Tamandua tetradactyla: one gene and its partners. The protein of the gene in region 2 purifies or fractionates together with the protein of the main gene of each other region. This does not show direct contact. Links are inferred from orthologs where the notes say so. Each region holds a gene or a part of one and is shown on either strand. Other genes may lie near its edges. The genes, in order: SIRT7, UBTF and RUNX2.

What was found.
Region 1: the proteins of UBTF (region 2) and SIRT7 purify together in Homo sapiens (affinity purification with western blotting; 3 studies listed by BioGRID, with this or other methods). This does not show direct contact. The link is inferred for Tamandua tetradactyla from reciprocal best matches to the Homo sapiens genes UBTF and SIRT7.
Region 3: the proteins of UBTF (region 2) and RUNX2 purify together in Homo sapiens (co-immunoprecipitation; 3 studies listed by BioGRID and IntAct, with this or other methods). This does not show direct contact. The link is inferred for Tamandua tetradactyla from reciprocal best matches to the Homo sapiens genes UBTF and RUNX2.

The regions. Positions count from the first base shown.
Region 1 is NC_135332.1:74,097,321-74,101,065, forward strand, and holds the start of SIRT7 (NAD-dependent protein deacetylase sirtuin-7), read right to left. Parts: upstream 2,186-3,745; 5' UTR 2,147-2,185; coding exon 2,054-2,146; intron 1,984-2,053; coding exon 1,846-1,983; intron 1,635-1,845; coding exon 1,530-1,634; intron 54-1,529; coding exon 1-53. UniProt on the Homo sapiens protein: NAD-dependent protein-lysine deacylase that can act both as a deacetylase or deacylase (desuccinylase, depropionylase, deglutarylase and dedecanoylase), depending on the context. Specifically mediates deacetylation of histone H3 at 'Lys-18' (H3K18Ac).
Region 2 is NC_135332.1:23,273,614-23,277,358, reverse strand, and holds the start of UBTF (nucleolar transcription factor 1), read right to left. Parts: upstream 2,499-3,745; 5' UTR 2,141-2,498; intron 1,822-2,140; exon of another isoform or gene 1,675-1,821; intron 876-1,674; exon of another isoform or gene 806-875; intron 446-805; exon of another isoform or gene 379-445; intron 7-378; exon of another isoform or gene 1-6. UniProt on the Homo sapiens protein: Recognizes the ribosomal RNA gene promoter and activates transcription mediated by RNA polymerase I (Pol I) through cooperative interactions with the transcription factor SL1/TIF-IB complex.
Region 3 is NC_135331.1:103,059,111-103,062,855, reverse strand, and holds the start of RUNX2 (runt-related transcription factor 2), read right to left. Parts: upstream 2,374-3,745; 5' UTR 2,261-2,373; exon of another isoform or gene 2,222-2,260; intron 2,059-2,221; 5' UTR 1,994-2,058; coding exon 1,936-1,993; intron 1-1,935. UniProt on the Homo sapiens protein: Transcription factor involved in osteoblastic differentiation and skeletal morphogenesis. Essential for the maturation of osteoblasts and both intramembranous and endochondral ossification.

The DNA of each region.
Region 1 (3,745 bases), about 51 Mb from region 2:
TGAAGTAGCGTCCATACTCCATTAGGGCCCCGGTAATCTGGGATAGAGGCTGCCTGTGTGTTCAGAAAACAGTGTGTTCACTGTGGGTTCAGGCTGGACTCCGGAGAAAAGGAAGTAAGCATTTCTCCTGCCGTGCTCCAGGCAGGCCCATGAATCAGTCCAGTTCATACCATGGACCCAGCGTTTCCTAGTCTGACCTGCCTGACCAAACTGGAATATTCCCTAACACAGTTCCTTCCTTCTGGAGGCCTCCCTGGCAGGTGGGGGAACCTCTTCCTATTCCCACACTGCTGATACTGAAGTGGGGATGGGGGGATGGGGGTGTGGCCAGGCTCACCTGTGTCCCCAGGGCCTAGCCCAGTGCAAATGGTGAACCCCTAACTGAGGATGCTTCTGCTCAAATTCCTATCGTCAGATGCTTTGCCCTCTAGGTGGCTCCTGCTCCATCTTAACAATGACAGAATAATCTCTTCAGAGTCAATAAAATGCTATGTAATTTTCTCAGTGCCCAATCCAGCAAACCCCATCCTGAGAGATAGGACAAGAAAAGGTGTGCCAGGAACAAGGTGGCTGGTGCTTCCTGGGCCATGAAGCACCAGCCAGGGGAAACCCAGCGTCATCGCTTCTGGGTTTCCCCAGTGAAACCCCACCCCTGGCCAGTGTTTCTGACTGTCGCCTTCAGAGGAACTTCCAGCGGTGATGCTCAAACCAAGAAGCAGCATAAGGTTTATAGGTGCCACTTCCAGCTCTTCAAGGTTAGTCTCTCCAAGGGATCACGTGACTGGATTTCACATGTGACTGCGGAGGGAGGTGACCAGATACCAGGGCAACAGGTACTTTTGAGGTAGGACAATGAACACATACCATATGCACTCTTGCCACTGGGCCTCTGCTAGTAACCCTGTTGGGAGTGCTTTCTGCCCACTTTTACCTGTGCAATCCTACCCATCCTTCTGGGCTCTGATTCAATGCTGCTTCTCCCAAAAGGCCAGCCAGGATGAGTTTTCCAGGTTCTCTGCTAGGTCTACACTCAACTCACAATTGTCAGGTTAGACGGACAAGGAGCCACTCACACTTTCAAAACCCAGGACGGCGCCTCAATGAAGTCTCTCAAAGCTCAAAGCACTTCTCTTCTTTGCCCAGTATATCCTGAGTTTGGCTTTCTCTGTGCCTTCCTTCACATTCAGAAACACAATGAACCCGGATGAAGGAGATCAGCCTCCTTAACTCCAAATGGCCGGTGCCTGCATGCACTAAGCTGTTTAGGTCCCGTGCCCCTCTCGTTTCCTTCCTGTCTACACGGGTACGACACAGGGTTCCAGAGTTTTTTAAGTGCTCATCTACTTGACGTTTTATGTTCCCCGTCGTCCTCGGCCCTGGGGAGGGGGCGCCCCCCACCCACGCCTCTGGGCCGGCAGTCACATGACTCTCGGAGCGCTCAGTCCCCGGCCCTCTCGGTTCTGTGGGCGGGCGTGGAGCGGCGCGTGGAGCGTCCCGAGGGCACGGCCATCCCCGGCTCGCCTCCCTACCGTGCTGATCCCCGCGCCTGTGTAGGCGACCAAGTACTTGGCGTTCCGGACAGCGCCCGCCAACTCCCGGACTTTCCTCCGCAGCTCCTCCGGGTCATCGCACACCTGCGGAGACGCCGAGGCTGGCCATTGCCCCCGTCCTTGGCTACTATCCCCCACCCCTGGGCAGAAGGCCGGGGCCAGGGAATTCCGGGCAGACGACCGCTCCGGACCGAAGGCCGCCGGCGTCTCGCTCGGAAAGTTGCCCAGCCCCAGAGCGCCCTGGCCCCGGCGAGGCCAGACAGCGCCCTCGGAACGACTGCCGCGCGGGACTCGCCTCCTCCTGCCGCCGCTTGAGGCCCTCGCGTCGCCGGCTCCGGCCCTGCAGCTCCGTCACCAGGTCCTCGCTCTCGGCCAGCAGCCGACCCTCCTCGGCGCTGCGTTCGGCCACCGCCTTCCTCAGGATGCGTGACACCTGCGGGCGGGCGGCGGGCGGTGAGGGGCGCGCAGGCCTGGGCGCGGGGCGCGGGCAAGTGGGGGCCTACCTGGCGCAGGCGCTCCCGCTGCTGCTCCTCCCGCAGCCTGCGGACCCGCTCGGCCGCTTTGCGCTCCGAGCGGCTCAGACCCCCGGCTGCCATCGCTCCCCGGGGCAGCCCGCGCTTCCGCTTCCGCCTCGTCCCGGCCGCACGCATGCGCGCCAGGCCCCGCCCCTTCCGGCCCCGCCCGCCCAAGGAAGCACCTGCCAGTCTCTTTTTAAAAGGTGTTTATTGGTCATATACAAAATAAAGAAAACCTTATATGTCACAAACATACACTATGTACAGCAATAAATACCCGGGGGGCCGGCCCAGTGCCGCCCCTCCTGGACAATAATTTAGCAATAAATACTGCACGAGGCAGGGCCCTCCAACCCCAGGCCCGGCCTGCCCCGGTCGCCCCTGACCACCGACAGCGAGGGCCAGGTGCAGGGCGCCTAGCCCCCTCCTCCCTAGATCTTTAACATCTGCCCCCCACTTTAACCCACCCAACCCCAGGGTACTCCCCCAGCCTCCAGCCTCTCCCAGCTTCTGCCCTAGGCGGGGCAGGTGGAGTCTGCTCAACCCGCCCCAATCCACCCGCTCAGTGCCAGGAGACCAGCAGAGCTGGACACACTGGGCAGCCCTGGTTCTGGTGTCCCAATAGCTGGGAGGAGGCTTTCAGTACCCACTCCTGTTTGGTTCAAGGCTTCAGGGAGTGGAAGAGATGGGGAGAAGGACAAGGCTGGGACACGAGCTCACCATTGGGGCCAACGCCCAACTGAGACCACCCAGAACAGGGAGCTCTCCTGGTGGGTTGGAGATGTGCTCTCTGCCAGTCAGCTTGGAGTCGTGGGACACCCAAGGTAGCAAGGCTGCTGCCCAGGCACGGTGGACATTTGTGTGGCTGGGCCCAGACCCAGGACACACACAGGCCAAAGCAGGACAGGTATGGCAGTTTTGCTAACATGCCTGTGCCTCGGCGCAGCGCTGCATGAGTTCTCCACTCTCCCCACCTGCTCCCAAACCACTGACAGCCAAGAGGAAGGGAAAAAAGGCGCCAAAGAGAATTATTCAGTGGCTTTTGGGGAAAAAAAATCGTTAATGCGTTGGTTCCTTTCACCAAACCACAGCCTAAAAAAAAAAACTCACATGATCCTAGAGCGGAAACGGTGCTGCAGGCTGCGGCTGAGGCTTCCCAGCTGGGGACAGGGAGCACTAGCCTCTGGGTCTCTCCAGAGAGAAGGCAGAGGGATAGATGGGGCATGGGCACACATCCCAAAGCAGCACAGCAGAGACCAGAGCCATGGGCCTGAGCCCTGAGACCATGGAGGTTGCCGCTGACAAGCTGAAGTGGGGAGAAAAGTCAGCACCCCACTCCCGAGCTATCTCAGAGCAGCTGACTCTCCCCACCTTCACACACGGTGGCACCTACCCTGGAGCAGCAGCCAGGGACCCAGGGGGATTCTCTGTGGCCATATTCTTTGGGCAGGAGCTGACCTGTTCCTGCTGGGTTTTTCTCTGAAATCTGAGTGTCCAGGTTGTCATAATGGGGGGAGCTGACCCAGGGGCAAGGTGAAGAGGAAGACACGTTATGGTTTACTTAGCGAACAAGTATGGGTGGCTTGGCCTCAGCCAAAGCCCTCGATTCGCTGTGTCAGAAAGGTTCAGTAGAGAAGGAAGGAAAAAGAACACAACACCTTCACAGTGGGAAAACTGAAT
Region 2 (3,745 bases):
CGGCCCAGCCCTGCCGGCGCCCCCGCCCCGGCCTCCGGGGAGCCGAGCCAAGGAGAGGGCGGGAGGACGGCGGCCGGGAGGCGGGGGCGCAGCGCTCACCGGCCCCGCCGCCCCCTCCGGCGGCCGGCGAGAACTGCGCCTGCCGGCTCGGAGAAGCGCGGGCTCCTACGTTCGCGGCTGGGGCTCGGCTCGGGCCTCGCTTCCTGCCTTCCCCTCCCCCGGCTCTCGGCGTGTCCTCCCCAGTGCCCTGGTCTGCTCTCGCCCAGTCCCCTGCCCGGAGGTCGCCTCGGGTCCCCACCGGGCGCCCCCCGCATCCGCAGCTCGCTCCCCGCTGCTGGGCCCCGACCCCAGCGCGCGTCTTCCGTCCGCCTCAGTTACCCAGCGCAGCGCGGCCTCCGGGCTTCCCGCTCCCGTGGCTCCCTCCCCGGCTCTGAGCGGCGGCGCCCTCCCCCGCTCGGCCGGGCACAGCCGCAGCTCCCTCCCGCGGCGGCAGCGGCTCCTCCTCCGGGCGCGGCGGCGGCGCTGGGGCGGCGGCTGCTCCTGCTGTGGCGGCGGCGGCGGCAGCTTTGGCTGCTGCCTGCTGCTCCTCGCGGCGAAAAGCACAAAGCACAGCGCCCTCCGCCTGCAGGCAGCCCGCCCGCCGCCCGCCCGCCGGCCCCGGCCTCCGCTCGCACACCCCCCGCCGCCGCCGCAGCCTCCGCCGCCGGAGCGGGGAGGAGGAGGGAGAAGGGAGGAGGAGGAGCGGGAGGGGGGGCGGGAGAAGCGGGGCAGCGAGCGCGTCCTTCCCCGTAGAGCGCACACCGACCCCCGGGGAGCGAGCGCCAGCCCGCCTGCCTCGCCGGCTCCACTCCCTCCCACAGCCTGCCCGGGCGGGCTCCGCGGGGGGCAGCTGGGAGGAGGGGCGGGAGCTAGGGGGACCCGGGCGGCCGAGGCGGAGGGAAGGAAGGAGGGGAGGGGGGTGGCGGCGGCGGCGGCTGCTGCTGCTGCTGCTGCTGCCGCCGGAGGGGGGGGGCCGAGGCAGGGAGACACGCAGCCGCCCGGATGGCGGCGGGGCTCGGAGCCGAGGCGGGCGGGCGCGCTGAGAGCGACCTCCCCAGACCCGCGGGGGAACTAGCAGGCTTGGCCGGCGCGGGAGGGAGGGCGCGGCTGCGACGAGGGTGCCCGGAGGGCTCCCCGGCGGCCGGGGACATTCGGTGGTGCCCGTAGCCCTGTTCCGGAGCTCTCCCACCACTCCTCTCAGTTTAGCTCCGGCCTCCCAGGCCAGCCCTCACCCGCTTCCCTCTCCTGCCTCCTGGAACGGGTGGTCCGCGCCCACCCATATCCTCCGCGTGTGGCCGCGGGCTTGGGGCGCAGACTTGCCGATCGCGGCGCCAGCCCGCCTCGCGGTCCCCGCGCTGGCGAGTAGAGCGATATACACTAAACTTTAACAAAATAAAAATCGCCCCCAGGAACGCTCTCCCGCAAAAAAAAAAAAAAAAAATTCCTCTCTACTCCTTACACCCCGGAAACGGCGAGGGGGCGACCGGCTGTGGCCGAGGAGCCGCTCTGGGAGCCGGTTCAATCCAGCCCGGCATGGCTACCCCAGGCCCGCCCGGGCGCATGGAGATCGGCCGCCGCTGCCATTCGCCGCAACCCCTCTTCTCCCGAAATCCCGCGGCGCTGGGGCGCACTCACCGAACGAGTGGATGGGAACGCGGGCCGGGGGCACCTGGGGGCGCGGCGGGCCGAAGAGCCGAGCCGCAGCCGACACCGGAGCAGCGAGTCGCCAGACAAAGCCCGAGATGGCGAAGCGGAGCGACGGCTAATGGCGAGCCCCACGCGCCGCGCTCCGCCCGCCCCGCTCCGCCCGCCCGCCCGCCTCGGCGCAGCGCAGCGCCGCTCCGAGCGCTCGCCCGTCAGAGCCGCCTCGGCGCCGCCGCCTCCCGGGCCACCCCGGCCTCGCCTGGCCCCTCCGCCTCCTCCGGGCGGCTCAGCCTCACCCCTTCCCTCCCACCGTGCTGGGAACTGCACAAAAATTTTAAAAAAAAGAAAGAAAGAAAGAAACATGCTTTTCTTTTCCATTTTCTCTTGCTTTTTTTTTTTACCCGCAGGGCGGGCGTTTTGAGACTTTTGGGTCTTTTTGCCCCCAGCTCGCACTCACCTGCGGAGCCGCCGGTAGGGCTGGGGGTGGGGGCGCACCGGGCTGGAGCCGGCGAGCGCGGGTTGAAAGCTAGCCAAGCTCTGCAGCGCCCGACCCGGGCGTGTACGCTGCCGCCAGTCCCCGCAGAGAAATCGTCCTCCTACCCCCGCCTCCATCGCTCTGCGTTTCTCTTCCAATCAGCCGGTCGCTTGGCGGCTCCTCCATTCTCCGGCCAAGCCCGCTGCCTAGAGCGAGCTCCACTCCATCTGCTTGCCCGGCTCCTCGCTCCCCTGCCGGGGCCGGTGAGGCGGCGTGAGGCCGGAGGCGGATTTGCCAGGGAACCTGCCTCCTTCCCGCTCCCATTGCTCCCTCCCCGCTGCCTCCTGCCTCCTGCTTCTCTCCTGCGTCTTTCCTACTCTCCCCTGTCGCCACTGGTGTGTGCCTGAGTGTGTGCGCGGTTTTTTTTTTTTTTTTTTTTTTTTTATTGCTCTTTGCTTTTGTAACCCTGAAGCCAAAGCTGGGGGTGGGGTGCGAATCAAGGGGGGATTTTACAAAAAAAAAAAAGAAGAAGAAGAAGAAGGAAAAAGGAATGAAACGAAAGACGCTCTTCTCAGATTTACAACACATCGAAAAAACGGGGGAACACCCCGCCTGGTCCGATCTTCGTGCCCTGCAAGGGCCTTCCGGGGTTTAGAGCGAGTCTCTCCTTGTTTTCAACGTCCCCACCTCCGCCGGGTATAGGATCCGAGGAGTCCGACCAAAAAGTTCCCCCCCCTGGGTCGTAGCCAGGGGTGTCACGGGTGGGAGTTGAGGGGGATTTTTCAGAAAGTACCAGCCGTCCCTTCCACCTCGGCTTTGGAGAGCTGGGTCCGGGTGGGCGTGGAGAGCGAAATCCGGACCGGTTTGCACGCAGGGGATTCCGGGGAGAGGTCGGAGCCGCGAGACGGCGCTTCGCGCCTCAACCCTTCGATCTCTGTCTCCTGTCCCTTGGCCAGCTCCCCCTTTAATTTTTTTTTTTCCTAGTCTTTAATCTAATTTCTTCCAACTCCACCTTTGTTGTTACCGGCGTCACGCCTGGACCAGCCAATCCCCGCCACGCAATCAGTTTGTCAAAAAGGCTCGGCCAGCCCTGGGAAAGCAGGCCGCAGGCGCTGCCCCCCGGCGACTGAGAGCCGCGAGGGGAGCCGGGCACCCCGGCCTCGCTGTTAGAGCCGCCGCGGGGCAGCCTCCGCGTGGGTCTCCCGCACCCCACCAGCCTGGGCCTGGGTATGGAAAGGCCTGGGCGGGGACCACCAGCCAACCCCATTGCCGTCGGCTATGGTTGTCAGTCTCTGCCTCCCTTTCTCAGTGGAAGGGTTATCGGATGGGAGCCAGAAGACAGTCTGAAGGACTCCTGCTTGCAACAGGCCAGCGGCCTGTGGTTCGAGCGCTCGCGCCCGGGGCAGCGCCATCGCTCCTGGCTCGCGGGGCTGCCGGGTCTCCCACCGGCACTGCTCCTACCCACATCGCGGCCAGCTGGGTCGCCAGCCCCTTTGGACTCTTGCCTGGCACACTGTCTTCTCCCTCCTCACACATGGCCTCGCCGCTGCTGTAATTCCTCTGGTCTCCTGTGAGAAATGAGATCGG
Region 3 (3,745 bases), on a different chromosome or scaffold from region 2:
TCCACTTTTCAGAAGAGGAAGAATTAGTTATAATGTCTAATTAAAAATATGACATGCAATAGAAGGTGATTTTTATCTGCTTATTTCACAATTATTCCTTGTATAGAAACTTGGTCAAGTTTCAGAAATCTTAACTAGAAATGGTTATTAAGGACATCAGGGAAATATAAAACCTCTGATATGATCAAATAAGGAGCATTTTAACATACCGTTTGTGCCAATATTAATAGCTTTACTTCCAATGCTAAAGTATTTCCTTCAAGCTTGTGTTATTTCCTCATCTGGTTAGAAATGTATTTTTGCAAAAGAGTAATATTGTTAAAGAGTAACTTAACTGCTTAATGTACCTGTTCAAGTTATCCCTCTACTAACAATCATTTTAAACAGCTTTTTTTCCTCATCTCTTAGGTAGTAACAGCAAAAGTTCGCATGCATAAGCTGTAATTATAATATGGGGTATAATACAGTCTAGTTATATTTGTTGTACTTTCTTAACTCAGAAATTTTTAGACTAATGCTTAATTACCCACCATGAAGTTTTAAAAACAATCTGTGATTATTATATTGCTGAGGGAGCTCGCTTACAGCTATTGAGGGAGCCACTACAATAATTTTAGATTTTTTTTGCAAAATATAGAGTATATTTCCTCATCCCTTAAGTGAAACTCCCCCCCCTTCAGGTTTAATTATTTCTATTTGACCTAAACTAAGACTGATTCTCAAGTATTAGCCAGTTAAAATGTGTGGAGGAGGAGGAGTAAAGGAAACTCCAATCAATAGTTGTAAGTTACAGAGGTATACACAGCAAAAGGATTTGTTTTAAAGGATAAACAGGATATTTTCAAAACTTGCTTTGTATTTGGAACATGTTGGACATCATAAAGAAAACATTGTAAGTGTTTAGCTATTTTGCTGTGATACTATGTCAACTAGTGAAGGTTGGAGTAGTTTACTTATCTATATCAATACTAACTTGAAATTAATTAAGAGACTGTATTGTTTCTGTTTTCTTTTAAAAGTCCAGCAAAATTAATAAGCATGGCTCTTTAAAATCATGCAGAGTATTCTTATAGAGCTTTATTTTTCATGAAATAAAATGCTATTCATTTTGGTAGGTCTAAGAATGTTACTAAAAGAATCTTAGAAGTTTCAGTATTTGCTATGTGTTTATAACAATTCTACGTATGGATAACAGTGTAAATGTAAAATTAAAATTATATAGGAAAATACAGTTCCATTTTAGTTTTTAGAGACTTCTGTAAACTTAATATCCTAGGCAACTATAAAGAGCTTTTAAAAATGGCTATGATATACTTAGTGCAATTTTATTTTCATTGAATGTATGGTTCAGTTATATAGTTGTTTAGAAACAAACTTGTGCAGATATCTTACTCAGTTTAAAATTATAAATAGAGTTCTTTTAGTTGAGCTGGTTCAAATACTGACTGTATTGTACGTTTATTTCTTTCTCTGTTTTACATAGTAGAGCATAATGTTGGGATAAATCTGTGCTCGGTTATTTTGTAAGATTGCTTCCATTTTGAAGTTTTTGCTCAAATATTGCGAGCTTCTGGAGTCAATAATTTATAATACTTTGATTAATTTCGTGCTTCATTTTATTGCAGAGAGGGTTAAATGAGAATATTAAGCTGTTTCTTTTACTGTTTTAGCATTCTTATTTCTATAGCCCCCAAAACATTTTGATTAATAAAAAATGATTAATTTTTGTCCATTTCAAGTTATTCAGAGAATACAGATGCCATATACAAATATGTACATCAATTTCATTTTCAATTTTTTACTTCAACAGAATAGTATTATTGTTAATATCTTTAATATACTGTTATCCTGAAAAGCTAGCAATTTATCTAAGAAACATACATTTATGTTTAACAGGTTCATCTCTTATAGGATTTTAAAAATGATAACACTTACCCCAAAAGAAGTTTTGCTGACATGGTGTCACTGTGCTGAAGAGGCTGTTTGATGCCATAGTCCCTCCTTTTTTTTCAGATAGAACTTGTACCCTCTGTTGTTAATACTGCTTGCAGCCTTAAACTGGAAATACAAACCATACCCAAACCTTGTTTTAGTTTTACAATATGCCTGGAGTACATAGACTTTATATTTATTTTTTTCTGTCAAAAAATTATGTAGCTGGTAACATGTGAAAAGCAGGGAAACAAAACAAAAAGAATGAGCAAATATTTGAAGGACCTACTATTACTGCATAGACTGTGGTTAGAGAGCACTCACTGACTCTGTTGGTCTCGGTGGCTGGTAGTGACCTGCGGAGATTAACCATTTAAAAACCAGAGACTTCTTGCTGTCCTCCTGGAGAAAGTTTGCACCGCACTTGTGGTTCTGTGGTTGTTTGTGAGGCGAATGAAGCATTCACACAATCCAAAAAAGCAAAAGCTTTAAAACTCCTTTTTTTCCAAGCACTATTACTGGAGAGACAGAATCATGTGGTTTGTGACCTCACAGTACTCAAAGTAAAGTGGGACTGCCTACCACTGTGGCTTTTCCCCCTTGCTCTTGCTCTCCCTCTCTCTCTCTCTCTCTTTCTCTGACAAAAGGCTTGTGGTAAGGCCCTTCCTGGCATCCAAAAGGATATAGCTTTTTAATTTTTGTGACTCATGAGGATTTGGATAGAATACAAATGCTGAAGGAGCCCAAACTCCTGAAGGTTAAGCATTTGTAGAACTGAAGTCTGCAGTTAAGGTCTTTCCTTTCTGTCACCACCCCCATTCCCCCCCTCCTTTTTTTTTTTCTTTTGCCTCTTTCTTTTAGTTCATTATTGTGTCTATGGAAAAATGAGCAAAATTGGGTCAAGTGGCTGTGTGAAATTCTGAACAACAGTGATGATTTACAGTAATTTACATCTTTGGGTTGTATCACGTTCTGGGGTCTGCTTCATATTTGCTGGATGGCTAGAGTTCTTCTGTTTTTCTTTTTCTTGTCTTTTTAAACTTGTGAACCTGTAATTCATTGTAAAAAAATTTACCTTAAGGTCTGGTGGCAAACTGCTTGTTGGGCTGGACTGTAATTGGCTGTCATGAAAGTGTTAGTCTGGGGATTCTTGTACAAATATTAAATCATGTCTCTAGTTTATGTATTATCAGTGTTAGATAGCAGGTCCTACAATAAAGATTTAAAGTATTTTTTATATCTTTTATAATGTATAACTTTTATGTTATGACTAGTTTGAGGGTCTTATACAAATGAATGGCAAGAATTACAGCAGTTTAGTGGATGTCTTCTTTTCCTTTATGATTGTAATAATTCTTAACTTTCAAGGAAATGTGTTCAGTTGTATAATTCTTTAAATAGTTTATTTGGCTATTAACTTTGACAGAGTCTTTGATAAGACATCTTAAATACCTTATAAACATATTAAATAAAATATGTTGTAATTTAGATTGTGTAAGTTCAGGATGGAGTGGGTTAATGGAAAATGTATTTTTTGTTTATAATGGAAGCTTTGAAATAAATTACAAAAAGGTATGTAGTAAAAAATAATGCACACAGACAGAGTATGCTAGTCATCTCAGTTTGCTAATTTTGATCCTGAAAAAAATTGAAAACATATTTGAGATGTTTTTTGCCCGTTTGGACATATGTATAGAACTCATTTTCATTTTCTTATTAGGATGATTATATATCAATGATTTTTATACTTATGAATAGGGCTTCCTGATTTCATCAGTTGTAAGTGATGGGGCATTTTTCAACAAAAATTATA